Linked DNA regions of Oreochromis niloticus. The protein of the gene in region 3 interacts with the protein of the main gene of each other region in a pairwise test. Links are inferred from orthologs where the notes say so. Each region holds a gene or a part of one and is shown on either strand. Other genes may lie near its edges. The genes, in order: flad1, bccip, cdkn1a and tex11.

Region 1 (7,836 bases), on a different chromosome or scaffold from region 3:
GTCTTATTTTGCTCAGGTCTAACTTAGTTTGAGTTTATTGGCGCCTGTTAAAAAAAAGAAAGGGCATGTGAGTGACCTGCTTTCTGTTGTTTTTGTTCGTCCAGAGGACACAACGATGACTTTCTATTGTAAACTTATGCTATTACTTTAAGAGAGGCTCCAACAACAGCTTACTTAGGTTTCAAGTTTTAATAATAAAACCTGGCAACACACACACACACGCACACACACACACACACACACACAAAGTTTGAAAGCACGAAGTTAAACATTTAGTTAACTCGTGCACACCCCAGCCTGACCATTTACATATTTCTTACAGTAACCTAACAGGCTCGACTGCACCGTGGCGTAACATAACAACGAAACATTGAATTGTCCGGCAGAACTATGTGTCCCTGCGGGGACCACAAATTTAGCACATAATCAGTTTCCTCACACTTTTCATACGTGCTATAGCTGACGCACGGCACGCACAGACCACACCATGCCCCCCCAAAAAAGTGTGGGCAACTTTAACGAGCAACTTACCAGCTCTGTTCCTCCCTTTCCCTTGAATGCCCCTCCTGCCCACCAAGCTCTGTTGCTGCTGCTGCTGCACAAATTTCAGCTTAATTTCATATAACAGGGCAAAGGGTCGACAGTTTTGTCCGCCGGGATCCTTGTATACTTGATGATTAACTTCATAAAAGAAGACTCTAAACTTCTTCTTTCCTCTCCCTTTCCGTCCCTGCCTCCTCCCCCTACCTCCCCCTCCACGATCACGACAGAAGTCACTTCCGCGAACCACGCAGCGTCATCCGGCTCCTCTCTCTCTCTCTCTCTCTCTCTCTCTCGCTCTCTCTTTCTTTCTCTTCTTTTCCCCCACTCCCGTGTGAGTGTGTGTGTGCGTACGCGCTCGCGTACCAAATTGCACCTGGACTAGTCAGTGTAGGTTGCGCAAAAGTAGAAATCCCTGACCGCGAGCCATAAGTCTGCAGTTGCACATGTACTTTACCGTAGATAAATACAGCGCAAGAACAGCTGTTTTCTGCCTGAAGTGTTGCTTTTTCCAGCATTTAGAAAGAGACCGCGATGACCCGCATCCGCTACCAAAACAAACCATCAGCATCAGCTCAGGGCATAAGCTGCTGCCGCCTGCTTTAAGGTGTTATTACCGCAAAGTGTGGGATGCGCAGACATGACTACATATGCACTACATATGTTTTAAAACACACATTTCGTCGTGATGTCCATACATTTGAATATGATTTTCTTTTCTTTTCTTTTGTAAAGCAGTTTGGTGATGAGATAACTTTCTTAAGGCCGCAGCATCCTCATACCACCAACAAGTAAACATGACATTGAGCAAGACGCTAAAGCCCAAGAACTAGATCTTTAGCACAGATTGTATGCATAATACACATATTATCACGTACGAAGGCAAAGGAGTGGCTGAATTCTACAGTTTTAGTACATGCTGATTCAGTGGATCGGTTCATGCGTTGGTGCACTGACACGTGCGCTTTTTTTTCTTTTTTTCCCAATGAAGCATGTAAAAATGTACCTGTGAAGCAAGTTTGCCCTTATTTTACTCAAATGCATTCCCCCAGGAAACAAAACGAATACAGTTGTGCTTGCATCTCAGAATTGCCCATTCACGTAATCATTTCTAGTTTTTATATAATTGTATGATAGCCCATCATATAATTGTATCACACAAAGCATTTTTATTTTTCACGTTGATAAGGACTTGATCTGCAATCCCATTCTGCTGAGTAAGATAAGATAAAATAGCTGTTATTACTCCTACATCTGGGAAATGGGCATTATTACAGCAGCAAAGTGGACAGATAATAATAACTGGAACAATAATAAAACAATAGAATACTTTATCATTTTGTAGGTCATATGATCTGATAGAAAAAAAAATACATAAATGAATCGTTATACGCGCTCTGGTTAAGCGGACATAAAGGTACAAGGAGTTCAGATGAATGATCAGTGCTTAAATTTATTAATTTTTAATTAATTCAGACGGACAGAGTATATCTTAAACCGCCAATGTGTTTGAAGGCAGTAAAATGCTCTGCGCGAGAAGCAATTCATCTCCACTTCGGTTTAATATTTCATCCACAGGCAGACAAAACTGTTAAATATATGCCAACATGCTCCACCCACAGGCGAAGAAAGTAATTATGAGTTTAATAACAGCATTTAGGTTTCGTGGAGTTCACTCCTCCACTCAGCAGGGGCGCACGAGTAACAGTAATCTCTTTTGAATCGGGCAAAGGAAGAAGTGATTCTCCGTCCTCTTCCGGGTGGTGGTGCAGCAGCAAAGTTATGTTACTAATGGTTTGGCTGATACTTGTTTTTAAAGTAGATAAGCGACATTTATTACTCCTCACTAACTGTGCTGATTCCGCCACATCTTTAAATGACTTTAGTGTACATGACGTGCTGGCCGTTAAGACCCGCCTCCCGAAATATGATTGGCTACCGTAGTGTGGTTTGAAGGTCACGTCATACCTTGAGCGACAGCTCGAGCTGCAGCTGTAGCTACCGGTGATAGGGAGCTTTGCACGGACATTTACAGCTGAGGGGTAAGTTCCCTCGGTTTTAATGAGGTTGGTTATCAAATAATAAATGTAACACCCGGACTTTTCCTCACATTAAACATATTCGTCGAGAGATATCGACAGTAGAGACAAAATGGAATATGCACATCTACTTAAATCGTACTTCTTTATTGTTGCCACAAGTAACCTAGCGAGGAGACTTAGAGTTAGCTAAGAATTTACATTCAGGTGTTACACACGTTCACACACTTGTGATATTTGCCATTTGTTTCAGTTAATTATTTGGTATGGCCATAAATGAATATGTCTGAGTTTACTTTTATTTCGTCCCGTTAGATAACTTACAAATGTTACGCAATGCAAACTGTGTAAGCAGGTGCAAGGCAGTTGTGCCAAAAAGCGAATACCAGTGTTTCTACGTTTTTTATGTCTAATATGTTTGCTTGTGTTGGTTAATGGACTGTAGTCAACGGGATTTACGAAGGGGTTAAAATGAATTATTCCAATCTCTGCACTCTTTTCCAGATCTCTCTTGAAAAACTATTAAAAAAACCAAAAACACTTTTTACCTGGATAAAAAAAAGTCACTTTGCAAAAAACTGATTTCAGCTTCTACTTTGTCACTTTGACTTGATATCGTCCATGAGACATGTTTGACAGATCATAGGCCAGTAAGTCATCTACAACAGTTTACCCCTAATCAATTTTTGGCAAATACCAGAAATGACTGTTTGCTTTATCCTCCTGCAACTGTGACTCCCAGGCTGCTCTCCAAACCAAATGCACAGTGTGAAGCTTAACATACAAGACAAATAGAAGTATCATTAAATTCACGCTTCGGATCTGTTTATCCCTTAACAGTGGATTTAAGTACCATTTTTTTCTCTTTTTAACAAATCCATGTCATATAGATGTTTTTGCGTTGTTATCACAGAGTTCTATTTTGTCAGCATTTTGCTAGTGTTTCAAACACTGGATGGAAAATGTGTTTTTCATCAGCATCAAATGATATCTACCTTAAAAGACGCACAAAATATTAAAAAGCAAATCGTCACCATCTTATTGTTAATGATGCACATAGGACTACTGCAATTTAGTTATATACAATTGGAAAACAGTTAATACACACATTTAAATAGAAATAAAACTCTTTCATCAGCAATCAGTGACTTTTAATCAAGTGTAATGTTTTAAATACAACTCTTTTCTTATTTCAAGTTCAACCACTTAATTCCAACTTAAAGCCTTATCAAAAGACCTATAAAAATAAATAGCTGATTTTAAAAAAAAGTAAATTTTAAGGAAATGCAGGAGAAATACACAAATTATTCACATGTTAACAGTTCACCCTTCCTCTTCCAGAGATACCTCCTGCTAGGAGACACACTATGACAGAGAAGAGGGTCTGAACAACAGCGAAGCCTTTTCTGATGCTCTGTGTGGATTCATGCTGATGTAAGAAACATTTCTAGTCACTGTAAATGCAGCAAAATAATTCAGATGCTACATTAAAATGCACAAATAAGTGACAAATTGCAGGAAGATCTTGAATACCTGACCTTGATATGGGCTACATTTGTTTCCTCTGTTGTGGTATTACAGAAATCACTGTTTGTAAGACATGCTGGCTTTTCCTTTAATTTGTGACCCATCTGCATATTAACAGTTGAGCACACTGCACAATGCATTCCATATTGCATATGCTTACATGCTGTGCTAAAGAGGTCTTGTTGACTCGATAGGTTTTTTGACTTTGCTGAGTGTTGATAAATCTAGTATAAATCTGTAGTAAGAAGTGCTCAATTAATTGGTTTCCATGGTTCCCAGCTTTTCTTTTCCTAAGCTGAGTAGAGCAGTGGTGCGTGTGAGGAGACTGGCAGCTCATCTCAGCAAGGCAACCATGTCAACAAACCTCCAGAGCAACAGTTCGTCTTCTGCAGCCAACGGGGATGCTCCTACTGCAGCCATTCTCATCATTGGAGATGAGATTCTTAAGGTGCTTTTGGTGTTGATAAAGCTTGTGCCTTGTGTGGCTTTTAAGCTATATGTGTATGACAGCACCCAATGAAAATCACTGGGAGTTTGTGCAATTGATAAAAATCAATATAAACTGTTATTGGGTTTTTTTGTTTGTTTTTTTGTGATAGAAGTAGGAGCTTGCATTGTGCAGTGTTTAACATATACTGTCATCTGCATCCCTATGTGTCTGGACCTCTATTCAGTCTCTGATGTGCATTTTATGACCTCAGGGGGGAAAAAACTGCGATGGTTACTTCATGTGAGAGCTGTGGCTGTTTCTAAAATGACAAGCTTACTATTATTTTTTTGACTTGACATGATCATGATTTAAACATGAAGTCTTTGATTTCTGTCCAATGTCACATCTCTCTGCCTGAAAATCGGTCTGCAGTCCTTGAATTTCATCAAGCAAGACCTTGGAGTTTCCTTTTTCTTTTCTTTCTTTCTTTTTTTCTTTCTTTCTTTCTTTCTTTCTTTCTTTCTTTCTTTCTTTTTTTTTTTTAAGTTCTTGAATCTGATGTACATGTGGGTGTCTCTTTCAGGGTCACACAGTGGATACCAACAGCGCCTTTCTAACTAAAGCGCTTAGGAAACTCGGAGTGTCTGTGCAGCGCATAACAGTCATACCGGATGTGCAGGAGGTCATTGCCAAAGAGGTGGCCCTCCTTTCATCTCAGTATACGCACCTCCTCACATCGGGGGGTATAGGTCCCACTCACGATGACGTCACCTTTGAGAGTGTTGCCATAGCATTCCACGAGGAGTTATATGCCAATCCAGAGCTCAGCCAGCTAGTTGAAGAATTCTTCGGGGTTGGGGAGAAAAACAGTGCTGCTATAAAGCTTGCGATGGTGCCTCGCTCAGCCAAACTTAACTATGGAACTGACCCTCAGACTGGACAAAAGCACCGCTACCCTCTGGTGAGTGAACTCGGTACAGAGGAATTTTTATAGAACACAAAATTACTTCAAATATATCCAAGCTACATGGCGCTGTTCAACCTTTCTTTAAGGTAAAAAAAAAAAGTGAGGGTGTTTTCTTTACAAGACAGATTGCAAACTAACTAGTTGCTGAAGGAGTGAAAATAGCTTCTTGCAGTGGTCAAAACAATAAATACTCTGAGCACACACAGACACCAGGCATGAAAAGCATTCACACCTCTTACTCACAGGTCATTAAATTTAGACATTTTTCTCTTTAAGGACCAATATAGTACAGAGGATGGTTAATGTCTTTGGTGCTTTATTATTGTCTTTCAAGTTGAGAGACATTAATGTACAGTATATTATTATCCTATCCAGAATTTAAAATGAAACAATGAAGGAACAGCCCTTAAAGAAAGTGCCCTGTCTCGGCAAAAGGTGGAGAAGGAGTTGGATACCATTCTCATGCTTGTTTGCTAATGAAACCCCAGCCAGCAGCCGTTTACCTTAGCAAAAATAAATATCTGACATTTACAAAACTGTAAATCTGCCCTCAATTGTTAGCTGTCTCTGGGTTGCAGAGATGTGATGTTATTCCTGCATCATATCTCAATAGTTTCAACAATGATGGCTCGAGTACCGCCCCACATCTTTTCTCACAATTTGATGTGTCTACCTTTTTCTCCCAGGTCAGTGTACGTAATGTGTACATCTTTCCCGGGATCCCATCTTTAATGGAGAAGGCCTTCAATGGGCTGGAGCATCTCTTTGCTGGTTCAGGGACCACCTTTCACACTCGCGAGGTAACTCCATAACCAAACCTGTTACTTCCAAATCCAGTCCAAGTCAGAATTAGTATACTTCTGTTTTTTTTCTAATTAATTTTTATGTATTTATTTATTTTTTACTTTTTGTTTATAATACAGTTTAGCTAGTTTTAGTTAAACTAACTAAAGTAATGACACTTCCTCTATATTTCTGATATTTCCTTGATACTTTTAATGTATTTTACCTTTTAGTTTACTTTTAGTTAAGTACAATAATGTTGATTTGAATGCAGTGTTTAAATAGTATAATTAAGTTTACCAGATATCTGGTGTTTGTCCAGGTGTTTGTTGATGCAGATGAAACAGACATTGCACCTGTGCTGACCAAACTGCAGGCTGGCTGGGGCCGAAAGGTGGCTCTTGGCTCCTACCCTGACTGGTTGAGCAACTATCACAGAGTTAGGCTGGTCCTGGACGCAGACAGCCAGCAGGAGGTGGACAAAGCCCGAATACAGCTGCTAGACAAGCTGCCCAAGGGGAGCGTGGTGCCCTTAGTCACAGACCCGGTGTCCGTAGCCCCCGCTGAGGTGTACGGATTGGCCAACAGTGGTGAGTGTGCGGAGAGTAATGGAAGATGATTCTTAATATGTGTCATCTTGATATAAAGTGAATACTGACTTGTGCATTTTACACAGGCATTGGGACCAATAAAGAAAGCTAAAATATGAAAGTAATTTAAGTCGTAAAGTCAGAGTGGATAATAAAAAAGAAGAATATAACTGTGAGACAGAATGGTGAATAGATTAGAATAAAGCTTCAACAACTAAGCTATGACAAACTACTCGCAGCTTTTTTTCTTTTCTTTGGATCAGACGTAGAAATGTGGGCTCATTTCTAAGATGCCTCACAGCTTGACTGCATTAACTATGAACCATCCTCTTACTGTTGATTCCTTCCCACAGGTACAGAGCTGGGTGAGAAAGTCATGTCTGCACTGAAAACAATAGAGGCGGCACTCCATCAGTATTCAACAGAGCAAATCTGTGTTGGCTTTAACGGGGGCAAAGACTGCACAGCGCTGCTCCATCTCTACTATGCTGCACTGAAACGGTAACAGGAGGGGAGAAGACGAGATGAGACAATTAAAACATTTTTGTGGATTTTTTTAATCTGTGGGGGAAAAAAAACAAATGACCTGAGAGATGAAAGATGAAAATGAAGATTCAAATTAAAAACATAATGATAGCATTAGAGCACAGTGGGGTGTGAGATCTCAGCAGGAAGTAAATGGAAAAAGAAAACTAGTTGGAGGGCAGCACTTAGAGAAAATCTTGGAGAAGACTGAGTACTTTTTTTGGACTTTTCTTGACCTGTGGTGGACAGATTGAGAGATATGACGATAAGAAGAACAAATACTTATCTGATCTCTTTCTGTGCCAGCGTTGCTTATCTTTTTAAAAAATGTCCCTTTTTTCTCTTCCTGTCACTCTCAGCCGATATCCAGATACTAAAGAAAAGGTGAAAGTCCTGTATATTCGTATTGTCTCTCCATTCCCAGAAATGGAGAGA
Region 2 (7,941 bases), on a different chromosome or scaffold from region 3:
AAATGTGCAGCTGAATGTTAAAAACCAAGGATTTTGAAGTGTTCCTAACACCTCTGATATGCAGTTGCATGAAGTTTCTTCCAGTATTCAAGTATGTGATTATTCCCTATGTCTTTACAATTTGTACAAACTGTCTTTAAAATTTCTAAAACTGGGTAAACCATCGCCCTACATGTTCTAAATATGAATACGTGCATTCCTAAAACAAACTGTACAAAAATTGAAGAATATATTGAATGATTTTCAGAAGCCTGAAAGCTGTCACTGTGTCCATAGGTGTCTTGGTTTATTGTGAAGGTCACACTGATAGATATTCTTTGAGTTTCTCCATGATGGCTGGCATTCTGTCTGTGGGTATCAGCATCACAGTCCTGAAAGGCTTCATGGGCACGTCCGTAAATGACCACCTCCCACTTAAACAGGAGTCTGCCTCTTCTTGGACTGTGTAGTGGAACTTCAAGATGGCTTGCTGTAAGGAAAACACGGACCAGGCTTGAAATCAGAGTATAAATATATTGAATAGCTTATCAGATGGCTGTTTAAATGAATATTTATCTGAAGTTTGACATGAGCTAACGAACTGCTGTATTTTTACCCAGATACTGTTAAGTAAGTAGCCCCGTGTATAATAAATATTTAGTTAAAACCTTGAACTTTGTGCAGATTTCTTTCCGACTTTACCTCATAAAAGAATTCCTCCTCTGCATTAACAAACATGTATTCCTCTTTGGGAGCTCCTCCTGTGGCTGGGATGCTCTTGGTCTCTTCTCTACAGGTCTTGCTGATAATCAGGCAGTAGTGGCACCTCCCACTGGGCTTATTTGTCCTCTGAGCGTCAGCGATTTCTTCCCTAAAGGACCGTAACATGAAAATCTTTTAACCACACACATGGATGTTTTTCTAGTTTCTATTAAAAAAATAAATAAAACAGAATGGAATAGTTTCCAAATCTCACCAACAATTTTTATTAATAGAACACAAAACATCAAATGTTTCATAAAATATTAGCTCATTTTGAATTTGATGACAGCAGCATGTATTAAAAAGTTGGGATAAGAGCAACAGAAAGGTGGAAAAGTAAGTGGTATTAAAAAGAAAAAGCTGGAATAATTTGTAGCCAATTAGGTTAACTGGTAAATATCAGTTCCCAGATGTTCAACACTTGTTAAGAGGGGATCCTACACTATTGTAAACATGGCCCTGTCCCAACATTTTTAAGATGTGTTGCTGCTAATATATTTCATGCAATACTAAAAGGTCTCAGTTTAAATATTTGATATCTTTCATACATTCTACTGTGAATAAAATGCTGATTTATAAGATTTGCAAAGTATTGCACTTGTTCCGTCTTATTTCAGTGTTTTCAAACACCATCCTGACCATGTTCTACCTGCTCTCACAACAATAACAAAACACTAAAGATGGAATAAGAAGGTAAAGCAGAACTTACTGGAGCTGTTTGTGCAGTGGAAGGGCAATCTGTGGAGGCACATTGATGAAGCGCTCACTTAGCAGCAGCCCCACAGGCTTGCTGTTATCATTAAAGATCTTCTCCAGCTGTTCTGTCACAATATGAGAAGCATTCTTCTCACACTGATCCACAATCAGCTCCTTCACCTCCTCCACACATTGTACACCCTATGAACAGTACAAGACGTGAGTATGAAAATTTATATTAAAAAAAACAAAACACTGACATATTCCAGCCCATTCAAGACTAATTAGTTTTAGTTTGCTAGTCATCTGACCTTTCTCTCTGTGAGGTTTAGCATGGTGATGAAGCCAAACACTTCATCTGGGTCGTCGTCATCGTCGCTGTCTTCGGGCGCCTCAGCTTGCTGGAGCATAGTGGAGAGACGAGTAAATAAACAGCTGCTCAGAAATGAATGTGAATGAGCATGAATGTCAATCTTGGGTTTTAAATGATTTTTTTTGTCCGTTCCTTTTCCTGGTGGAATGATTGCACAACATACATCTTTTAAAAAAGAAAACACTTGGGTGCACACATTTGAATTTATTCCAGCCTAATGTTGCCATCCACTTTGTACAATGTAGCAATGCTGTTAGCAGCAAAGCAGCTCCAGAGCATCATGCTACCACCACCATGTTTGAAAGTATAGTGTTCTTAGGTTCAAAGGATTCTCTGTGGACAGTGAATTATTGCTGGTGTTCCAGCAGTTTCCAGTTCACAGCTTGAACTTTGGTGGTTTCTGAGTTGTTCCTGAACATCCAAACCAACTCTCAAAACAACTCATCTGAGGGTGACAGTTTAGGTCTTTGTCCAGATCTTGGCAAAGTTGTCCCACATTCGAATAACTGCTGAGTATTGCTGTTAAAGATAAACTACCAGTTGTAGTAAATAATGATTACAAATAAGATAAATAGGCCTTGGCCTCATCAAGTCAAGACACTGTATAACCTTCAGCACCACTAATCAAAATATTTAAATAAATGTATGTATATATTTGAGCCTTTTGGTTCCTCGTGTTTGCTTTTGATCCCATTTGGATTAATAAAACGCCAAAAGAAATTCAAACATGTACTCCCAAATGCTGTTTTTTAAGTCATTAAGATGTGTGCAGTATGCATTGTTTGCATTAAGATGAAGTTCAAAGAAATCACTGAAAGCCCAAATTATCATGACATCTCTCACCTTGATGACACTTCCAACATGATTTTGTTGGATGATGATGTGTGTCATCTCTGATGTATCCACATGAGCTTTTAAGAAAAGCTGTATCCAAACATAACAGAAATGACGTCAGTGACACCTGCTTACACACAGTATTTGAAACGTGAAATAACAATACTAAACCCAAACCTGCTGCAGCAGCTTCTTTATGCCGTTGAAGTCATTGTCTGAGATGGTGTGAGCTTCAAAGTCTACAACGACCTCCTGAAAGCGTAGAAGTCGTAATTGCAAGTTTTATTGTAACCCATACTCTGATTAGTTGTGCGAAACTTTCCGATATTAGTTTCACAGGGTTAACTTATTACAGCGTATTCAAGTACAGTATCTTCGAAATAACATATTCTAGTATATTAGTTATTTATTTTCTCACATGATTAACCAAAAAAATATTTTCATGAGCCTTTCTGTTCACATTAGCCCTACTGCTGACTTAGCTAACTAGTTAGCAAGGCCATGCCTCCCTTCTAAGACGTGTTTGTTCTTTTACCTCATTAATTTCCTCATCTGACGCCTCACTGTCCTCTTCTCCGGAATCGTCTTCCTCCTCTGGATTCTCATCGGAGCTGTTGTCACTTTCCTCGGGTTTTTCACCAAAACCTACTGCCCTTTTCTTAGCCAATGAAGCCATGCTGCAAACTTAAAACACACGTGTCTACTAAGTGGGCGGGGCAAAGACTAGCAACTGTCAGCTACGAAACTGAAACCCTGAAGCCGCCATTATGGCTCCACATATACACGGCTTGCCGCTTATTAAATCCACATTCAGAGCTTCAATGTCGGCTTGTTGCCCGTTGGTGAAATGGAATAAACCATTCTATAAAACGGGGACGAAAATAAATTCACATGCCCCCGAACCCTTTGTCACATGTAGTAGATATTAATTTAAATTATTGAAACTATATTTTTAAATTAAATAAACACATTCTTGTAATACTACTTGTAATACGATTATTTTACAAGGTTAGTCAATTAGACAGTGTTCTGTCTCCCCTCCTCGACCGTGGATGATGAAAGTCTGAATGAACACTCCAGGTACATAAATTTTGCCTAATATTTCGTCTTTTTCACCGTTTGTACTTCGTGTCACTGTAGCTATACGCGGATAAAATATTCGCTTCTATCACACATTATCACAGACAGGTTCTGTTAATTGCTACCGTAGATAGTCTGTCATGCACCGTGTCTTGCTAGGGTAAACAAGAACACTCTTACGGAAGAAGACACTTCACATACACTTTTAACTAAAATGGCCCATTCGCTTAATTTATTCGCTGTTCATGCACAGTCTTATGATCGTGACTCAACAACAGTCTTATCAGCATGTGACCGTTTTAGGGTGTAACGTTGCTTAAAATGCATTCACACCCAATGTCCTCAGTGTTTTTGTAGCTTAAGCCTCTGACTTTGACATTATTGCAGACCTTAGTAAACCTATTTTACCTTGGTTTGTTCGGAATTAACCATCTTTGTTATTTTAATAATCCAGTGTTTCAAGATGCGTGTATTGCTGCTTAAAGAACCAAAAGATGGAGAGTCTGGATCTGATCCCTATATTAAGGTACACGCCCTTTACAGTTAAATCAACTAACTTAAACCAGTTTCTTAAAATTTGTCAGTATAACCGTTATTATTTTCACTTCGAAGGAGCTGGAATCACGCGGACATAAAGGAACCCTACTTCCGGTGCTGTCTTTTAAGTTTGTATCATTAAACACTTTGTCAGATAAGGTAAATTGTTGTTCCATTGTCCATTCATTAATCCGTTCATTTTAACAGTTTGCATATTCAGTGGATTCATGTATTTTGCTTATTCCAGCTTTTCCAACCAGAGAAATATGGTGGGCTCATATTTACCAGTCCAAGAGCAGTGGAGGCTGTAAGGATGTGTTTGGAAGCGGATGAAAGAAGGGAAGGTGATAAACATTACTTTTCTCGAAGCTGCTGTATATCATTGATAGAAATGACTTTTTTTGGTAAAAACCTTAAAAAAACAAGTCAAGTTTCTGTAGTACATTTCTGTAATGCCCAGTGTATGTTGTGCTATTGAGAATGGGACAAAGCAGCGAAAGACAAGTGGAACACCAAGTCCATCTATGTGGTTGGGAAGGCCACTGCTTCATTAGGTGAGTCACATCTATGGACAAAGGTAATTTCTCCCAAAATCCTCCTTTGTGTCTTGAGCTCCTTGTAAACTCGTGCTAATTGCACCAGAGTGTGTCGGGCACCTGGTGCTCATAGTGATGTGTGAAATGCTTTGTCTACCTTCAGCCATTTGTTATACACAAGTGACAGTTTGCCGTTAGTGATTGTTCAGTGTCTTTACAAAACAAGCAGGTGCAACACTTTCTACATGTGTGCTTTAGCTTCTTCTTTTCAGTAACATTTCACAGTGGGTTTTTATTTTGAGTCTCTCAGTGAGCTTCTAATTTAGTTATTGAATTAGTTGAAGTGAATGAATGTGTTTTCTCTGCCACGCTCTTATGTCAGTATTTAGCAGACTGTGCAAAAGTATTGAGCCACCCTCATTTCTTTGTATTTTACTTCCAAGGACCCAGACGTCCTTGTAATTTTTCAAAGTGCTCTTGAGTTACTCCTCCAGGCTTTCAGAAGGTCTTTCAAATTTGTCTTCTGACATTTGCTGGTTTTTCCACTTATTTTCAATCCAGGCTTTGTACTGTGCCATTTTCAGAGGAATGCGGTTTGGTTGTTAAGCCACTTAACACTGGCCTATGAATGCATCAAGTATAAAAAAAAAAAATGCACCCAAGTCAAGGAATGAACAATTGTTGTGTCTACACATAGCAGACAACTTAGAAAAGACTAGAACGTAATGTCTTTTGTTTAGTGTTTTCTGCTTTTAAAAACCTTGCTGCACCTATTTCCCATTTTCTAGCAAAATATAAAGAAATGTGGGGTGGCTCAAGAATTTACCACATTACTGTATAGCTTATCATTTTTTTTTCCTTTTCATGATTTTTATCCCATACAGTACAGAATCTAGGTCTGAACCCTTTGGGAGAGGACACCGGGACAGCGGAGGTCCTATCACGACTTATTATTGAACGTACGGCGTAACTGTGGAGTCTCACATTCCTCACAGTTTAATTTTAATAGTAATTTTATGATTGCTCTTATTACTCATATGATCTCACGTATAATTCCCGTCATAGGAGAGGCCACCAATATCCCACCACTTTTTTTCCCCTGTGGCTCAATCAAAAGGGAAGTCTTGCCCACGGCTTTAAGGGAAAATGGTAAGCATTCCCCCTGTTGTGCCTGACAATTAAAACTCAAGGTGATAAAATTCCCATTGGGATTATTCTAATTATAAAATAATAATTGCACTATCTTTATCACTGTTGGGATCTGTTTCTTTGTTTCCAGGAGTGCCCCTAGAGACACTAACTGTCTATCAAACAGCAGAACATCCCGATCTGGAGAAAAATCTAAAGAACTATTTCACAGAGCAGGTAAAGTGTCATTCTTATTGCTTTTATTTATTTATTTGTTTCAGTATAGCAGCTGTTCATTTGTTTGTATGCTTATAGGGCATCCCAGCAAGCATAGCTTTCTTCAGTCCATCAGGAGTGAAGTTTTGCCTTGAAGTGGTGCGGAGGCTCTCGGCTGAACAGCTGACTCAAATAAAGGTACATCTTCCTCACAGTCATACACAAATAGATTTAAATAATGCATGAATCTGAAGTGCTTAACAGAGCTTTACTCACGTAAGTGTCTTTGTTTCCAGTTTGCAGCCATAGGGCCTACTACACAACATGCAATAGCAGCAGAAGGCCTTTGTGTCAGCTGCACTGCAGAAAAGCCAACAGCTGAACACCTGGCGATAGCGATAGCTAAAACTCTGCAGTGACCAGCTTTTAAAATCCACCTGCCTCATCTTTGGTGTTTGTTGTTATTATATATGTAAATACGTACTGTTATTTGTGTGTTTTACTGCTTTACTGCCCATCTTTATTGTTGTTGGACATATGATTCTGCTATTTTTGCACTGAGAAAAAGTTATTTTTTGCAGCACCAGAGCCAGGAAAGTCTAAGATAAAATTATAATTTGCTTTATATGATGTAAGAAAATGACTGAGAAAATAAAAGCCAATCATTTTGATAATATTGAAGATTTTGTCTGTGGTTATTGCTTGTGTGTTTCTGTGTGTTTATTTCCTGTCCAACACAGTGCTTGCAGGGGTCATCCCTGTCTTTTACTGTCCACATGAATGTGAAGGTTTTAACATCTTTCCACGGATCAGCTGCAGTCCATTTAAAACCACTGAAGCATGTATAACATAACCACAGAGTAAGAGTCAAATTGAGCAGTCGTAGATTGTAAAAGATGAGTTTACTTTTCACGCAGAGGTGAAGAAAGCAGGTTACTGTAGAGTCACACCTCTGGAGGGGTGTGGAGAAGCTAAGGATTTGCTTATAAAGCAGCGTTGCTCCTCACTTGTCATCATCTCATCTTGCATATAGACCCAGGAGTAAACCGCTAAAGGCCACGATGCTGAATTTAATCCAGCTGATATTTATGCTCTTTTTGACCAACATTAGCACAACTGATGCAGAGAAACTTTTCCATAATCGGGATCATTCTGATACGCAGACCCTTAATTCTCACCGAGCTCAGGCTATAACAGACAAGTACACAGCTGAGGTATATTGTTTTTTCTTCTTTTTTGACTACCTGTGTTTCTCAAACTTCAGCATCCATTTAACCAGACAGGGGATTTGTCTAATGTAACCCGTGTCTTGTTTTAGTTATTTCTCTCTAGATATGGATTCATCAAGCCAGTTAACTGGGAGGAGGTTCAGTTTGAGGATTCAGATGCCTCTTTCAGCGGTGACTTCCTCGACGATCTTCAAGCCACAATCCAAGAGGGAACCTCAGCGTCTTACTCGAGAGCTGCTCATCGAGCTGGTGATCAGCAGGGCTATAACCGTCAAAATGAGAACCAAGCCTTTATTTCAGCACTTAAAGAGTTTCAGAGGGTTTCAGGTCTGCCTGTTACAGGGGTGTTTGATGAGGCCACCAAGTTAGCAATGAACAAACCAAGGTGTGGAGTCCCTGATAAAGAGACTGTTCTGACCAGCCCTGTCATCACTACAGAACCTGAGAGCAGTGGTGACTTTGATTTTGAAAACAGTACCACTGACAGTTTTACTGAGACCAACAGGAACAACACAGCAAGTGACATAATCAGTGGCACTTCTTTAGGTACTGCAAATTTCTCTGAAGACGA
Region 3 (7,729 bases):
ATGCTTTGAACAGATAGGTAGACAACAGAAACTGAAATAACAGCCAATGTTACAACCAATATGCACACCACGTTGCCAGTGACGTCAGCTAAGAACAGGAAACTGAAGCCACAATTTGCACGGGCTAAACATTAGATGTTTGGATAAACGTTGTCTGGTTTCAGGACTCTCGATATTTGCTGCAGCCTTCAGATGGTAGGGTCAGAATGCTTCACAAACAGCACAAAAACATTGATGCATCCTGCCTTGTGTCAGCACTTCAGGCTGCTGGGGATGGTGTAATGGTGTGGGGGATATTTTCTTGCACACTTTGGGCCCCTTAGCGCCACAGTGGCCTCCACAGTCACCAGATCCCAGTCCAGTAGAGCACCTTTGGGATGTGGTGGAACATCTGGATATGCAGCTGACAAATCTGCACCAACTGTGTGATGCTTTCATGTCAACATGGACCAAAACCTCTGAGGTTTGTTTCCAGCACCCTGTTCAATCTGTGCAAAAAGAGTTAAGGCACTTCTGAAGACAAAAAGAGATCCAACCTGGTGCTAGCGAGGTGTACCTAATAAAGTGGCTAGTGATTGTATAATGGCGTTAATGGAGAAATTGTACTGTGATACAACACTGCAAGGGTTCAGCCAAACTAAGTAATAGTTTTACCGTTGCTACTTAAAAGTAAAGTGACGACACATTAAAGACACAAGGCGGTTCATTTGACCATTTTATTGGATTTCATAATAATTAAACAAAACCTAAATTAACACATGACATCGTATCTCACAATAAATAAGTACAGAGATTTTCACTTGCAGCCTTGAACAAAACACAATACAGAGGAAAGCATCTACAAACAGAAGTGCAATCATTGTTTGGGGTCATTCGCTTATTTTCTCGGCTTCGGAGCATTTCAAAGCTCTCTGTTGGTGAGGGTTAGCGTCACAGCGACGTCGCTCGACACCCATTCATATTACCCATAGCAGCAGAATTTGCTAATGTAGACATAAATAAGTGCCAAGAGGGGGAAAAAAAGAACAAATTAAGGCAAAAAAACCAAAAACAAAACACATCATTAGTTAGATTGCACGGTGAATAGAAAATAATAAATGTGTCATTTTAGCTTACTAAATAATACATTTGCTTTTGATGAAGGAGCTTTAAATACCAAAAACAAATGCCAGTAAAGGCACTTGATACTGGGTGTTTATGTGCAACACTGCAGTTTAAATGATTATGCTACCTGACAATACCATATTTAACTTTATAGATATACCTCTTATACATATATAACTAAATAAAAGTGTTTTAGTGTTCCTAGCCAACATTATCAGTATCAGAGTCTGGATCGGGCTGTCAAAGGACATCAAAAATCAGCTGATGTAAAGTAGATGGAAAAGGATGGAAGAGGACATGATGGCACTTCTGTCTTTTATAATCTAAGCAAAGCAACTGCATGTTTGAGATGTCAGAACTCTTCAAGCATCTTCCTTTGATTAAATGGTTGTCGATAAAAGCACTGTGTACAGCTGGACATAAAAAGTATGACATACTTTAGACAGTAAAAAAAAGAAGATGACTGGTAAGCCCTTGTGATACACATGTAGAAAAAATGCTGTAGAAAAACAATCATGGATTTGAACTATGGAGCCAAAGAGCTTTGTCTTCTCACCTTAAAAACATGATCAGACTGGATGATTTTAATGGACACATCTCCAGCGGATGTGACTGTCCTTTCAGTGCGGCTGAATGTGCAGTCGGGCAACACTTTGGCATCCCCCCCCCCAAATGAGTGTAAATCCACTGATTCCAGAGATTACTGTTAATCTTCTCTGCTCAAATGTCGCATTCTTGCCACTGAGGGAAAAAAACACCAATCTCCTCAGAGTGACTGCAGTACCCTAATTAACTGTTTTGTATTGACGTGTGGTTGAGGTCCCTCCTGGGTGCACGGCCAGAGTCTGTGCGGGACGTGTGATTCCTGAGCGTGGCCCTGTCTGGGTGGTTCTCTTGGAATATTGGCGTTTCTCCACCGAATATCACTCGCCGGATTTGCGGGGCATCCACACTACTCTTCTTTTAGCCTGGTAGAAATCTGTTGGGATAAAGTGCAGGAATTTTAAGCTCGTGCACTCTCACGTGAAATGACGAGACTTCTCGCTTTCAGCTGGAACACGTACCTGTGATGTTCGTCTGCTTCCTCTTCAGCCCGGTGTTCTCGCCCTTCTCCGGTGTTTTCTCCAGCATCTCCCGGCCGTGCATGCAGTTCTCCGGCATACCGGGGATGTTCTCCTTCTCGCTCTGTGCCGTCTCCACCCTTCCTCTCTTGGGAGTAACTGTCTCTGCTGACCTGTGGCCTTCAGCCTGTCCGAGACCCTGCATACAGGACCTGTAGAGCAGAGGCACCCTAGTGCTCGGGACACCCTCCCATTGGAAATCGCTGCTCTCCAGAGGCTTGTCCAAGCTAAAGTCAAAGCCCCACCGCTTTGAAGCCTCCTCCAGGTCGTTACGCATGGCGGCCTGGTACTCCACCTGTAGCTGCTCTCGGTCCACAGGCCCAAACAGGTTTCTCCGGGCTGGTCTTTTTCTCAGTACCCCCAAGATTCGCTTGTGAGAAGCCATCACTCTACACTGATGAAAACAGAGAGAAGATCTCTGGTTACAGTAACACTGATTGGCATTTTGCTTTAAAAAGTAGCAACAATAATAAACCAGACATGGCATATTTGAAAGTTAATTTTGTCTCCATTAATTAAGCATCTCCAGCGATTAGACGAATCCTCCCGGACACTCAGTGCTGATGAAATGTTGCACAAGTAAAACATGCAGTGACTTCTCTGGAGGAGAGGAACCTCAGCTCCAGTCTTATTCTAAACCAAGCAAAATGAGCTCTGTAATCCATTACAAGTGCATCCATCTCAGTTACTTGATACTGCCTCGAGTATGAAAGTAAAAATCTGTCTTACCATCTTTCAAACCAGCGTAAAGCTCCTCAGTGAACTAACACACTGGTCTCGCTGGGCAGCTTTTTATACTAAGGCAGTGACTCACTGAGCGCTCCTCCCTCTCTCTGAATCACTGGTACATGCCAGGGCATAATCTCAACCAGACATGTAAGGACAAGTCCTAAGTAGCGACCGAGAGCGCAAACACCGAGAATCACCACCAGGTGGCAGTATCAGGCCCCCTGCAGAGTAAAAATCCGAGGCGGTGACTTATGAATCCTATTTCCACATCTGCTGATCTGGACGGGACTTACATACAAACAGCAAACACTTTACTGCGAAGGCTACAGGAAGGAATCAGGTGTGTCTCAGGTGGATGTCATTAAGGCCATCCGGGAAGGACTGGGCAGAATTCCCAGGATTTTCTTTTCAGGGAACAATCATGAGAAGCGGTTCCCATCATGATTATCCAGCTGAGAACAGCAGGAGGGGGAGAGGTCACTCTGATTTGAGTTTTTATAGAAATGATGAAAATAATGACGATGAAGAGAAATCCAGATAAGGCAGAGAAGCAAATCCATCAACACAACCTGGTAACTGTTCACTGGCACCTTAAGTCCAGTTTTTTCAACAAAGCTTTACAATAAACACAGTCCTTAAAATGACTTGGCTGGAAATCTTGTTAAAACATGGCCTGTTACATCATCCCACAAATGTGGCGACTGTCCAAGGTTTGCAGTTCATTCATTCTAAGCTCAACGAAATCTTGGAGACAAAACAACAACAGCAAAACTTTAACACACATTGCCCAAAGATCAGGCTCATATATAGTTTTTCATCTGATAGGAATGCGCTTGTGTCTTTGTGCCCAGTAGTTTATTACTGATGTGAAGGGCCAGGCTATTGCTCCTGGTTTCACTGATGTCCCCGCTCAGCTTTGGCTTTCAGATGGAATAACGAGAGAAAAACTGAAAGGTCTCTTGATAATATTACATAAATTAAGTAATGCAAAGTGACAGATTGATTGAAATATCAATAGGATGGATACCAAAGTTGGTATTGGTACTGCATCGATACTACGGGCGATAAAAATGTCTGAACCTTTTTTGTGTATTTTATTTATAACCTATGGCACATTTAAATAACAGAAGCTGACTCAAACTGCTTTAGATATATATCCCAGTTCTCAAAAAACAAACAAACACACACAATTTAAGAACACATAAAAAGCTGAAAGTTAAAATGTGTTCAGAATTTGCACACATTTAAACAGATGACGATTCACCTTACAAATCAAGACACACTGTTCTCCCCTTTATAGGTTTAAAGTATTGGTATCGGTGATAGTGGATCAATACAAGATAGCACAGCACTAATGGCTGGATAAATCCAAATCCTGCACTTTACTACTACATTACTACTATATTAACCTCACCTGCTGAAAAATGCCACTGAGGCAGGGTGGATCCTACAGAGTGGCACAGACTGTTTCCCCTTCCCACCCACTGTTACATAACTGTGGACCTGCAAGCACAAAGGTCAGGGAGGGGTGGGTGGGGGTCCTTACACTGGGAAGAACTGGGGAGCCCAAAATAAATCCAATTCATCCAGAATGAAGTAAAACATCAGAAACACTGAAACACTTTGGGAGAGGGTGGACACACAGCTTGTAGCCACTATCCTCCTCACACCCTCCCATTTCCATCCACTCAGTCACGCGTATGACGCGGCGTGAGAGGAGAGGGCGGAGTGATTCAAGCGAGTGGCGGGAGAACGAGTCATGCACGGGCGGCGCTGGAACCGGCTCGGACCCTGCCCAGTTTACTACACAGGTCCACGTGAGGCTGCAGCTCGTGCTGGCCGGCCAAACTGCGCTGTCACTGTCTGGAGCCCTTACCACCACCACCACCACCTCTGCACACCAACGAACCACAACCACACACACCTAAAAACAACCGTGCGGGAAGCTTTGGTAAAGTTTTGAGTTGATACACTGAAACCAGCTAAAAGACATAAACCCAACAACAGCACGGGGACGGAGGTAGTCATGGAAACGTGTAATTTATGGGATTAAACGAACAAATATATAAATAAATAATGAAAATTAAAAAAAGATAAAGCATATAGGTAGGACTGAAACTAAAAGTAGCTCCTATAACATTACAGGTTGTTTAGCCATATAATGTAAACAGCGATGTTTTTTTAGACTTGTATACACTAACAGGCCAATCACAAGTGAAACCACCAAAGCGCAAAAATTCAAACTTTTAGTTTTACTTACATTTTAATTCAAAGACAAAAAATCTTCCTTTTTTCAAACTTGCTGGGGGAAAACTGACTGTTATCCACCTTCTCTCGCTGTTTTTCTGATTTCCAGTCTTCACAGCAGCTCTGATGTAAATAAACGGACGAGGCTGATGCTATGTAACCCAACAGATTCACAGGAAAATACTTCTCCGTGACACTTTCTCCTAAGATTTCTTACAGACACGGACTCCTGCTAAACTTTTATGAGCTCCGGTGGACGGGTACCCTCCTTTCCATTCCAGAGGCGGAGACTCGGGGGACTCGCACACGTGGATTTGGCCCGGTAAACACATGAGCACACGTGAAGCTTGGCTCGGGTCGAAGACGAGAGGAAATTCCAGCTCAGGAGGACACAGCCCAGCTCAGCCTCCCCTCCCCGTCTCTCCCTGCTTCTCAGTGCGCATGACAGAGCGCTTCGGCGTTTGTACTTGTCCCGTTTCCAGGATACATCACAATGACACATCTCGTTTGCTTCCTCCCATTTCTAAAACAGCTCACGCGACGTTTCGGTTTCTGTTGGCATCACAGAGCAGAGAGCAGCGAAGGAGAAAGTAGAAGTAAAAGTGGAGAAACTCGTAAACAGTAAATGGAACTACACTGGGTAATTTCACTCATGCGCTCTTTGTACCTGTATCCAATTTAAATATATCCTTCCTGTGGTAGCCCCCCCCTCCCCAAAAAACTCACTATATGTATCGACCACTTCTATATATGACAGCATTCACCGGCCTCTTCATTAGGTACACATGTTCAACAGCCTGTTAACGTCAATATCTAATATGCCAATCATATGGCGGCAACTTTAGATGTGTAGACACGGTGAAGATTACCTGGTAACGTTTAAAGTAAGCATAAGAACGGGGAAGAAAAGTGATTTAAGGGAATTTGGTGCCAGATGGGCTGGTCTGTGCATTTCAGAAAGTGCTGCTGTGCTGGGATTTTCCCACACAAACATCTCCAGGGTTTGCAATATTGTCCAGAAAAGAGAAAATACCCAGCAAGCAGCAGTTCTCTGGGTGAAAATGCCTTGTTGATGTCAGAGGAGGATGGACAGACTGCTTCGAGCTGATAGGAAGGCAACATAAACTCACATAACCACACGTTATACTCAAGTTATTCAACTCAGTTCAGTTAAAATTGTTTCTTTACACGGTGTCAAATAACAACAACAATCACCTCAAGGCACTTTACATTGTAAGGTAAAACCCCTACAGTAATATGAGAAAACCCCATCAGTTAGAGGACACCCCCACCCCCTCATGAGCAAGTGCTTCTGGGAAGGAAAAACTCCCCTTTAACAGGAAGAAACCTCTGACAGAAGCAGGCTGAGGGAGGGACAACCATCTGCTGTAACCGGTTGAAGGTGAGGGGAGGAAGAGCACCAGAAGGCCACACAGGGTACCACTCTTGTCAGCCAAAAGGAGGAAACATAGGCTTAAATTGGTATGGAGTCATAAAAACTGGACACTAAAAAACTGGTCTGATGAGTCTCGATTCCTGCTGCCACATTCAGGTTGTATGTTCAGGATTTTTTGTAAGCAACATGAAAGAATGGATAGATCCACGCTCCAGCTTTGTATCAACACTTCAGGCTGCTGTCGATGGTGTAATAATGTGGAGGGATATATTCTTCACACACTTTAGGTCCCTTAGTTCCAACTGAGCATCACTTAAACACCACATCCTACCTGAGTATTGCTGCTGACCAATGCACCATGTCACAAAGCTCAAATCATCTCAAACTAGTTTCTTGAACAACTGTACTCCAATGTGTCCACAGTCACCAGATCTCAGCCCAATAGAGCACCATTGGATGTGGTGAAACGGGACATTTGCATAATGGATTTGCAAATCTACCCATGTATCTGGTTTTGTTTTCTATATGGACCAAAATCAGTCAGCTTATTGGAAATTTAAGGCAACTAATGTAACTAAAGAAGTGGCCCATGAGTGCAACTTACTTTGACATAATAAACTAAAAAGAATAACAGAATTATTTTATAAAATATCTTCAAGTTTTACAGAATAAACCCAATCTTATACTAGCAGCAGTGACAAGACAGTAATAAACTATACATACACTGTAAAATATAACTTGTTGTTTCAACTTAAAAATATGAGGTAAAGGGCTGCCTTAAAATTTTAAGTTAAGTCAAGAAATAGAGTTTGTTCTTATAACACAACCAATTGTTATCTTAATGAAAAATCACATGTTGTCTAAACTTTCATCTTAGTTTAGTTGACTGAGATTTATTAGTCAGTTCAACTCCTTTAATTGTCATCTTTACTTGGGAAAACCCTTTCAGCTAAATTAAAATAATCTATTGTTTAAACTCTTGTCCTAGTTCAGTTGACTTGGGTTTTTTAGTTAATTCAAATACTTTAGTAGTTCTTTTAACTTAGGAATCTATTTTAGCTTAACTAACATAATCTGTTAGCTAAGTTGATTTAAGTTTATTAATTAACTGAGCTCCTTAAGGTAGCTGAGT
Region 4 (7,771 bases), on a different chromosome or scaffold from region 3:
AATCACAGTTAACATCCCCCACACATCCCATAACAATATGTAGTGTAAAAGTGAAAAATCAATATATAGTGTTGTTATAATAGCAACAGATGGCCTTTTTTCTTACATCCTTTGGTAGTCGCAGCAACATGTCTTTACAAAGCTGAATGTAGGCCACAGCCTCTTTGTTATTGCCTTGAGTTATGGCCTGTAAAGGAGAACAGATCTGAACTTATAATTAAATGTCAGCAAACAATATAATACTCCCTATTAGCTGTCAGAAATTTACCCCTCTCATTGTTTCTCAGTTCACATTTTAGCTGTCTCACACTTCACACTGCAAGTCTGTCAGAATGGCACTTCCTAAGCTGCCAAATATCACAAGAACAAATATTCACATCGAAGGTGTCGAACATCACATGCGCCACAGCTCACCGATTCTGCTTGGTATGAGAGAATTCGAAGTAGATCCTTCTCCACATCCTCCTTGGATGAACTGATGTCAGCTGTGCCATTGCCTCTGGACATCAGTTGGCTATAGAGGATTTCAAGGCTCTGGGGATATTAGATTTTGAGTCATTTCTAAAAACATGGTATTTGTCTTTGCTTCAAACCTACACAGAATTAAGAGACTATCAGTATGAGTGTTATTTTCTTCTTCACCTTGACAGCAAGGCTTAAGTATTTATCTGCCATCTGGGGATTTTTGCAGTCCAGCCAGGTTCTCCCTGTTTTGCTGGCCATCTGTAAAGATTAGACACTGACAAACATGCCTTGTCCTCCAGAAACATTGGGCACTCACAGAGGCTGCCTTCAGTACTGCTTACCAGAATCTGCTTGCGAATGGTGCCCTCTGTTGGGTTCTCAGGCTCACAGCAGTACAACAGACTGCATGCAACATGACGCACTGTAAGCATAGTAAGATTATTTGAATGTGAGGAGAGAAGATCCCAAAATACTGCCACTGCAGTAAAGCATAGAAAAATGCACAGTGGAACACTATCAGTCTTGGACTGGCCTGCTCAGAGTCCAGACCTCAATATTATTAAAGTCAAAATGAGATCAAAGTGGGATCATCTTGACAGAGAACTGAAAAAAGGCAGCCAACTTCCAAAGAAGAGCTTTGAATCTCCTTCAAGAAGCCTGGAGAACTATTCCTTAAGACTACTTAAAGAAATTACAAGAAACCTTTAAAATTTACGATGGGTTGAACAATAAAGGTGCTCATACCAAATATTAACTTTGAAACTTGTTAGAATAGTACAGACTGTTTTTGTCTTATATATTTCCATGCACATTTGCATGTTTAAATGCATTTCTGTATCTATTTCGTATTTTCCTAGCAAAATACAAAAAATGAGGGGTGGAACAATACAAATACAAATTTACCTTGGGCTTTTTGAATTGTACTTATTGTGACACCCACATTCTTAGTAACTCCCCAGTTCCACAGCTTGATGGCACACTCCTCCAGCTGTAAACAAGACAACAAAAAAATAAAATTATGCCAGCTTCTTGCATATGAGTATTAACAATATTACATTAAATTGCAGTCTTTAAACTTCATGGAACCGTTGCAGCAGTCATATAACTTGTAGTAGGTCAGATTAATTCAGCTCTATTAAACAAGAATATTAGCGGTGTAAAAAATTTCTTCCATAACTATTTTGTTAATTCTCCATTTTATTTTATTTTTTGTTTTTATTGTTATACTATAACTTTACATCACTACTGACTTGTGGCGTATAGTTAAACAAGCTGACATGTTTTTGTCTACCTGCGGATCTGGTATTTTGGGCATAGCCTCAAGTCCAGGGACTTCAGAGAAGAGCTTCTCTATCACTTCATCATAATCTGTTAGCTGCTTTTGCAGCAGGAGCTCAGTGAGACCTGTGTATTAAAAAAAAGTCAACAAAGACAGACGTTGACAGGATACAAACAGGGTAACAGAGGACACGTTGTCTTCTGAAGTGGAAAGTGACATCTGATTTTTCATGCAATAAGAATATCCGAATTTTCTACACTATAAAGAAAACCAGATACTGTTTGTGCAAGACAATAATGTGTGTGACATGGAGAGCACCCCACTTTCTTATTCTTTTGTATAAGTTAAAAATCTGTCTCAAAATCCAGTTTGACTACATTGATGTCCTTTCTCATTTCAAAAATAATTCAGATATTCTCTTGTGTCTTAATGTTAGGCTATTAGCACTGAAATATTAAGCCATTTATTAATGATTGTTCATCTAGGTAGAATATAATCTAAAATGAAATATGAGTCATACATCCCAAATCAGGTTAATTAGTTGCAATTTTTTTTTAAAAAAGTATTCATTTACATATTAGCTTCAAGTTAGGGGGCTAGCTTGTTATAATAATGTAAAATATAACAATAATTCACTGTGGCTGGTGACCAAGATAACATGAGCAATTTAGTGGATAACATGAACCCCAATTTTATGCCTCTAATCATTTGCATTATCAGGCATTTCACAGGCTGGACAAAATTTATAAAAAGTCTATAACACAGCAGTTTCTTTAAAAATTCTAAGACCCTGTTTGAAATACACATAAGGTCTTCAAGTACCCTTTTTACCCATTGAATAAAGAGAATTTACTCTCCATTAAAAACTGCTTTAAAAGTTTCAAATTGTTACCCAGGTGTAGATTTGTACATACAAATGTAGATGGCAGCCTGCTGGCTAACTTTTTCTTGCTGCAGTCACAACAGCAGTAAGTTTTAATAATACAGCTTTTGGGATTTTCAGACTTTGCCTGTTTAGTTCCCTTTGTCTTTTAGAAAAATAACTATTACTTCCATGGCTTGAGTAACATTTAGCTAATATACCAGAGGCACAAAACTGTTATTAGCTATTGTGCATCCAGATAATAGACGCAACCTAACAGTTAGTGAATTAGCTAGGTTGGAAGCTAAATTAACAACTAAGCTACAGCTCCAGTTGGTAAAAGCACTTTAATAAATAAATAGGTGGGTCAAGAGAACGAGTCAGTTACTCACTTTTCACAGTTGAGGTAAGTTCCTCCATGTTTAACTTTTTGTGGAATAAAAATATCAGTCAGGCTAGGTGCTAGCAGCTAGCGCCTCACTGAAATGTTGGCATTTGATTGACGGCTATCAAAAATGCCCGCGAAAAAGAGAGCGAGGATATCAAAACAACAGCAATATAAAAGAGCTATTACTCCAATAGAGGGAATTATTCTGCCTACCTTAAACTGTTCCTAATACTAGCTTGATAATAATTGCAGGTGTGACAAAAATCAAATACCATTAAACAAAGGGGTAAAGTACGGAAGCGTAGAGCTGCCACCCAGGCAAAAGAAAAAAAGAAGTATATCACGTTATAGCGTGAAAAGTTTATTGTTCTAACAAGATACTTTTCATGTTTGTACAATATACTATCATGTTTGTACAATATACTTTTGACGTTTGAACAATATAATATCACGTTATTACAATATGCATAAATATCACGTTCGTACAATATATTTATATTGTTCGTACAATATATTTATATTGTACGAACGTGATATTTATATTGTACGAACGTGATATTTATATTGTACGAACGTGATAATTATGCATATTGTAATAACGTGATATTATATTGTTCAAACGTCAAAAGTATATTGTACAAACATGATAGTATATTGTACAAACATGAAAAGTATCTTGTTAGAACAATAAACTTTTCACGTTATAACGTGATATACTTCTATTTTTCTTTTGCCTGGGTGGCAGCTCTACGCTTCCGTAGTAAAGAGAGTTTCTGTTGGTTACTGTTTTATCCCCATCTTCTATAGAAAGTTATTTGCTAGAGAATTAGAAGGGGCAAGGTCCTACAAGACCCACAGTTCATCTCAAAACTTGCAATGGGGAGATTGGGACTACCTTCTTTTAGAGATTATTGTTTTGTAGTAGTGTAGCCCATCATAAAATACACATGGAAAAACACTAAAAAGAAAATACCTCCCATTCCCATACAGCCAATTGTATCATATAACAATTTACAAGGTTATATAAATATTAGGTGAAATTGACTCTTAAGGTACATAAAAGTGTTATAAAAGAACATAAACTAGAGCAAGACATTTATATTATCAAATCCTTGAGTTGTGATTTTATTGTGTGCATATGATTCTGATTTCTATACAATATAATAAAAGAAGGAAAACTGCACCGTTTTGAAATGTTTAAAGTGAGTGGAAGTCACTATTTAATAGGACTGTTTAGAAAAGCATATAACTCAGAGGTTGGTAATAGGAATTTGAAAAGATCTTGTATTAAACACATAGCCCTGTGCAAAAGAAAGCAACCCCCTCCAGCAGCTAAATATCTTCTACGAAAAGTTAGTTAGCATAAAAGTTAGCATATTTTGGGTACATACTTACAGAATGGATGAGGAAGTACTTATGGGAGATCCCCAAGGTTGTAGGCTGGAAAAAACAATGGGCATTTATAAAATGGATATGATAACAGCATTTCTTAAGTATAAATGAGAACAATTTGTTTCATACTGAGAACATTTTGTCAACTATGTAGCACTCTATAGACCTGATTTTTTTATTTTATTTAAATTTTTTGCAAATTTGTAATTAATTTGTATTGATTACTAGAACGCTCCCTGCTTGTTGAAAATTATTTGTCTTTTTTCCCCTTATCTACCTTGGTCTATGTATGTGTTGTGTAGTGTTTTATGTATATGGCTTATGTTTATGTAGTGTTTCAATTTAAAAATAATTAAAACAGAAATAAGAAACAGCAAGGGCTTTTGAGAGAAGGGTCATCTACTGGAGCACAAGATGATCCAGGCTATGCAGGGCTTTAGCTTTCTGGGAACATAAAATAAGGCAGTAAAGTCATATTAAATTTGATTGTTCAGTCATTTTAAGGTCAGCTCAGTGCAAAGCTGAATTGCTAGCAGTGTACAAAACAAAGTAAGACACGTGTTTGCTTACAGATAATGGAGTTCTGTAGAAAACTAAATGTTTTGACAGGGCGTGCTCTAAGTTTTAACTTTGCCAACACTAACTGATATTGATCTCATGTCGGCATCAATAGCTCTTAAATAAAGTCTGTGGTTGATATAATACTCACAGGTTATCTGAGGTTTTCTGACAAAGTATTTTCTCATAACTCTCTTTGGTTCTCCTGCAATATTTACTCAGAGTTCAGCAATCTTTGTTGGCATTGTGGCCATAAAGGGAAAAAAAAGTATAAGCCCTTATTTCTTGGTAAATCTAAGAAGTCTTGTAATGCTGGCTTAGCGCACTTGTTTACATTTATTGCCAAATGACATTTTCCAGTCATCACATGCTTGGAAAGTAGATTGAAATACCTGTACTTATAGTAACTAGTGTGGGAAATTAAGGGTTTATTATTTGTTGTAGATATAGACATCAGGATGACACAGAAAAAGAGAGCTCGCCAGGCAACAAATAAAAAGTAGTGAATTGGTATTTGGACTGTAAGTTGTAATGTTACCACAAAAGCACATCCATCTTTTTTATCAGTAATTCTAAATGCCTGAACAGAGACCTGTTCTGTTTTTCAGTGTACAGGTGTCTCTCCTTGTGGTTGTTAATACAGGTATCATAGTGAGAATATCATCGGTATCATAGACGGACACGCGACTGTAATATTATCTTGCCAAATCCTTCTGATATTATGGTTAGAAAACAATTTATCTTATGTGTAAAACCAAAAATCTAGTTGTAAGTCAAAGTACATAAAACTTTCTGGTTTCTTTCTGGCAACAGGTATCAGGAAAAGAGAGGGAATCAGAGCTAAGCAGAAAGAGGAGGTCGAGTAAGGCTTTTTCAATTTTCAAATTGGAATATGATTCTGTTTCAAATCACACAAAAAATTAATAATAGGATTAAAAAGACTCCCATATTTACTGCCATTTACAGGTGTAAAGAACAAAGTGCCTCTCTGACAGGTTCATCATTTTCCCAAATAAAACTTCCACCCTTATTGATACCTTTTTGATACTCAAAGGTACTAAGGTAGGCAAAAGCACTATGACATTATGAAAGTCTGACATCTCACTTAGATATTTTACGCTCTTCATTGAAGTAAATGTTTTCTCTCTAAAAGCTGAAATATTCCCATTTTTATGTGTATGCACGCAATTCAAATCAAAGAAAAGATGAAGGCCTAAGTTTCCATATGTCTCTGTTAGGGGAGTATATTGTATTTAGCTCAAGAAGTTACTACAGGAATACTAAGAAATCACAACATGACTGTAAAACCATCTGCAAAATATTGCATAGGACCGCTCTTATGCTGCCAGAACACTTCTGACCCATTGGAGTGTGAACAAGGGAATTGTGGGGGCGTCCTGTAGTGGCTGGCAATGGGAAATTGGATCCTGTGTGTTGCAGGGTGGGGTCTGTGTGGATCAGGGTTATTACAGCTTATCCCAGGGATGCTTGATTATGAGCTGGAGAGTTTGAAGGCCAGGTGAACATATTTAGTTGCTGGAGGGGGTTGCTTTCTTTTCCACTGGGCTATGTGTTTAATGCAAGATTGTTTAGGTGTGCAAAGGTTGTTAAGTATGAAACAAGAGGACAACAAGGAAGATTCATGCATGCACTGAAGAAGGATATGCATAAGAGCATGGTAGGGATAGGGTGAGATTAAGGGAGATTATCAGCTGTGGTGACTTCTTAAGGGAGCAGAAAACAGAGGAATAATAATACTTTCTGTTAAAAGGTGATGCTTAGTTTCTACAGTTATCTAACTAACTTGCCTTACTAATTCCAAATAGCGTGGATCAGTCACTAGAAATTCATGCCGTAAACATTTGATAACCCAAGTTTCTAAAGATATGTCAGGATTTATTCTAGATGTCTTGATAAAATAATGCAAAAGACATCTAGGACAAAGGCACCCATAGAGCCCAACTCCACCCAACAACATGATCTTAAACTTGATTTGATTTGTCCTTGTTATATGTAAAACTTCACTCTCACATTGAGTTGACCAGACATTCAGCAACTATTTCTCCATCTCTTTGTTTTTCCATTCGTGATCTGTAGCCTGGGTGACTCAACAGCAATATGAGGTCATTTGACTCAACACCACCTTAGACATGGGTCTGGAGAATATCTAGACAGTTTGATTTTTGAGCTTTGATTTCTTGCTTTCTTACAAGCACTGATTTCTTTTTGCCTGTCTAAATTTCTGGACTAGAGACTTCTAACACAATAACTGACATATTACCGAGAAAACCTCTGCCAAAGCTTCAACTATGTTGCTTTGATTCTTGAGTAAATCTCCTTTTGAGAACTCAGGGGCTGAGGAAAGCAACTTTTTAAACCAGCAGCATGGAATACATTTGCACAAAAGGTGCTTCTCTCATCTTGGAAGGGCAAATGTTAAGAATAAAGAAAATAGTGTTCATTTGGTGTGTGAATTCAACAAAACCGCTTAATCTGTTGTATCAATATATTTATTAAACCATTTTTGTTTCCTATTAAGAGAAACAAATATTGCTATAGATGTAGACTTTCCCAGTAATGTCCTTTTTGCTATTTTACAATAGGCTCACCTTCTCTTAAGTGCCGCTTTTCCCAATCAACACTAGATGGAGCTAAAAGACATCGGTGAGACAAATGCATTGATCCTAATACAGTAACACAGTTTCCAAAATGCTCTGACTTCTGCAAACTTCTGTCCAGGACTTAAAAATTACAAATTTATAGAACTGAATTCATGCAAGTATTAGTTTTGTTAACATAGTGGAACACACTATCTGGCCACTTCATT

The links.
Region 1: the proteins of cdkn1a (region 3) and flad1 interact in a two-hybrid assay, tested with the Homo sapiens proteins (2 studies listed by BioGRID and IntAct). The link is inferred for Oreochromis niloticus from reciprocal best matches to the Homo sapiens genes CDKN1A and FLAD1.
Region 2: the proteins of cdkn1a (region 3) and bccip interact in a two-hybrid assay, tested with the Homo sapiens proteins (2 studies listed by BioGRID, with this or other methods). The link is inferred for Oreochromis niloticus from reciprocal best matches to the Homo sapiens genes CDKN1A and BCCIP.
Region 4: the proteins of cdkn1a (region 3) and tex11 interact in binary tests that used the Homo sapiens proteins (3 or more experiments, as listed by UniProt). The link is inferred for Oreochromis niloticus from reciprocal best matches to the Homo sapiens genes CDKN1A and TEX11.

What each region holds. Positions count from the first base shown.
Region 1 is NC_031976.2:20,867,987-20,875,822, forward strand, and holds the start of flad1 (FAD synthase), read left to right. Parts: upstream 1-4,374; coding exon 4,375-4,554; intron 4,555-5,119; coding exon 5,120-5,497; intron 5,498-6,189; coding exon 6,190-6,303; intron 6,304-6,608; coding exon 6,609-6,876; intron 6,877-7,229; coding exon 7,230-7,377; intron 7,378-7,760; coding exon 7,761-7,836. UniProt on the Homo sapiens protein: Catalyzes the adenylation of flavin mononucleotide (FMN) to form flavin adenine dinucleotide (FAD) coenzyme.
Region 2 is NC_031973.2:11,324,682-11,332,622, forward strand, and holds the start of bccip (protein BCCIP homolog), read right to left. Parts: upstream 3,452-7,941; 5' UTR 3,321-3,451; coding exon 3,180-3,320; intron 2,897-3,179; coding exon 2,822-2,896; intron 2,735-2,821; coding exon 2,654-2,734; intron 1,839-2,653; coding exon 1,749-1,838; intron 1,639-1,748; coding exon 1,451-1,638; intron 851-1,450; coding exon 682-850; intron 470-681; coding exon 299-469; 3' UTR 1-298. Other genes in the region: uros (uroporphyrinogen-III synthase), read left to right, coding at 4,188-4,250, 4,337-4,420, 4,509-4,605, 4,741-4,815, 5,682-5,756, 5,863-5,946, 6,077-6,162, 6,241-6,339 and 1 more. UniProt on the Homo sapiens protein: During interphase, required for microtubule organizing and anchoring activities. During mitosis, required for the organization and stabilization of the spindle pole.
Region 3 is NC_031970.2:21,861,182-21,868,910, forward strand, and holds cdkn1a (cyclin-dependent kinase inhibitor 1), read right to left. Parts: upstream 3,100-7,729; 5' UTR 2,958-3,099; coding exon 2,955-2,957; intron 2,620-2,954; coding exon 2,169-2,619; intron 2,084-2,168; coding exon 2,028-2,083; 3' UTR 913-2,027; downstream 1-912. UniProt on the Homo sapiens protein: Plays an important role in controlling cell cycle progression and DNA damage-induced G2 arrest. Involved in p53/TP53 mediated inhibition of cellular proliferation in response to DNA damage.
Region 4 is NC_031966.2:20,005,421-20,013,191, forward strand, and holds the start of tex11 (testis-expressed protein 11), read right to left. Parts: upstream 3,287-7,771; 5' UTR 3,027-3,286; coding exon 2,999-3,026; intron 2,802-2,998; exon of another isoform or gene 2,659-2,801; intron 1,870-2,658; coding exon 1,757-1,869; intron 1,454-1,756; coding exon 1,369-1,453; intron 887-1,368; coding exon 807-886; intron 724-806; coding exon 643-723; intron 535-642; coding exon 415-534; intron 188-414; coding exon 107-187; intron 1-106. UniProt on the Homo sapiens protein: Regulator of crossing-over during meiosis. Involved in initiation and/or maintenance of chromosome synapsis and formation of crossovers.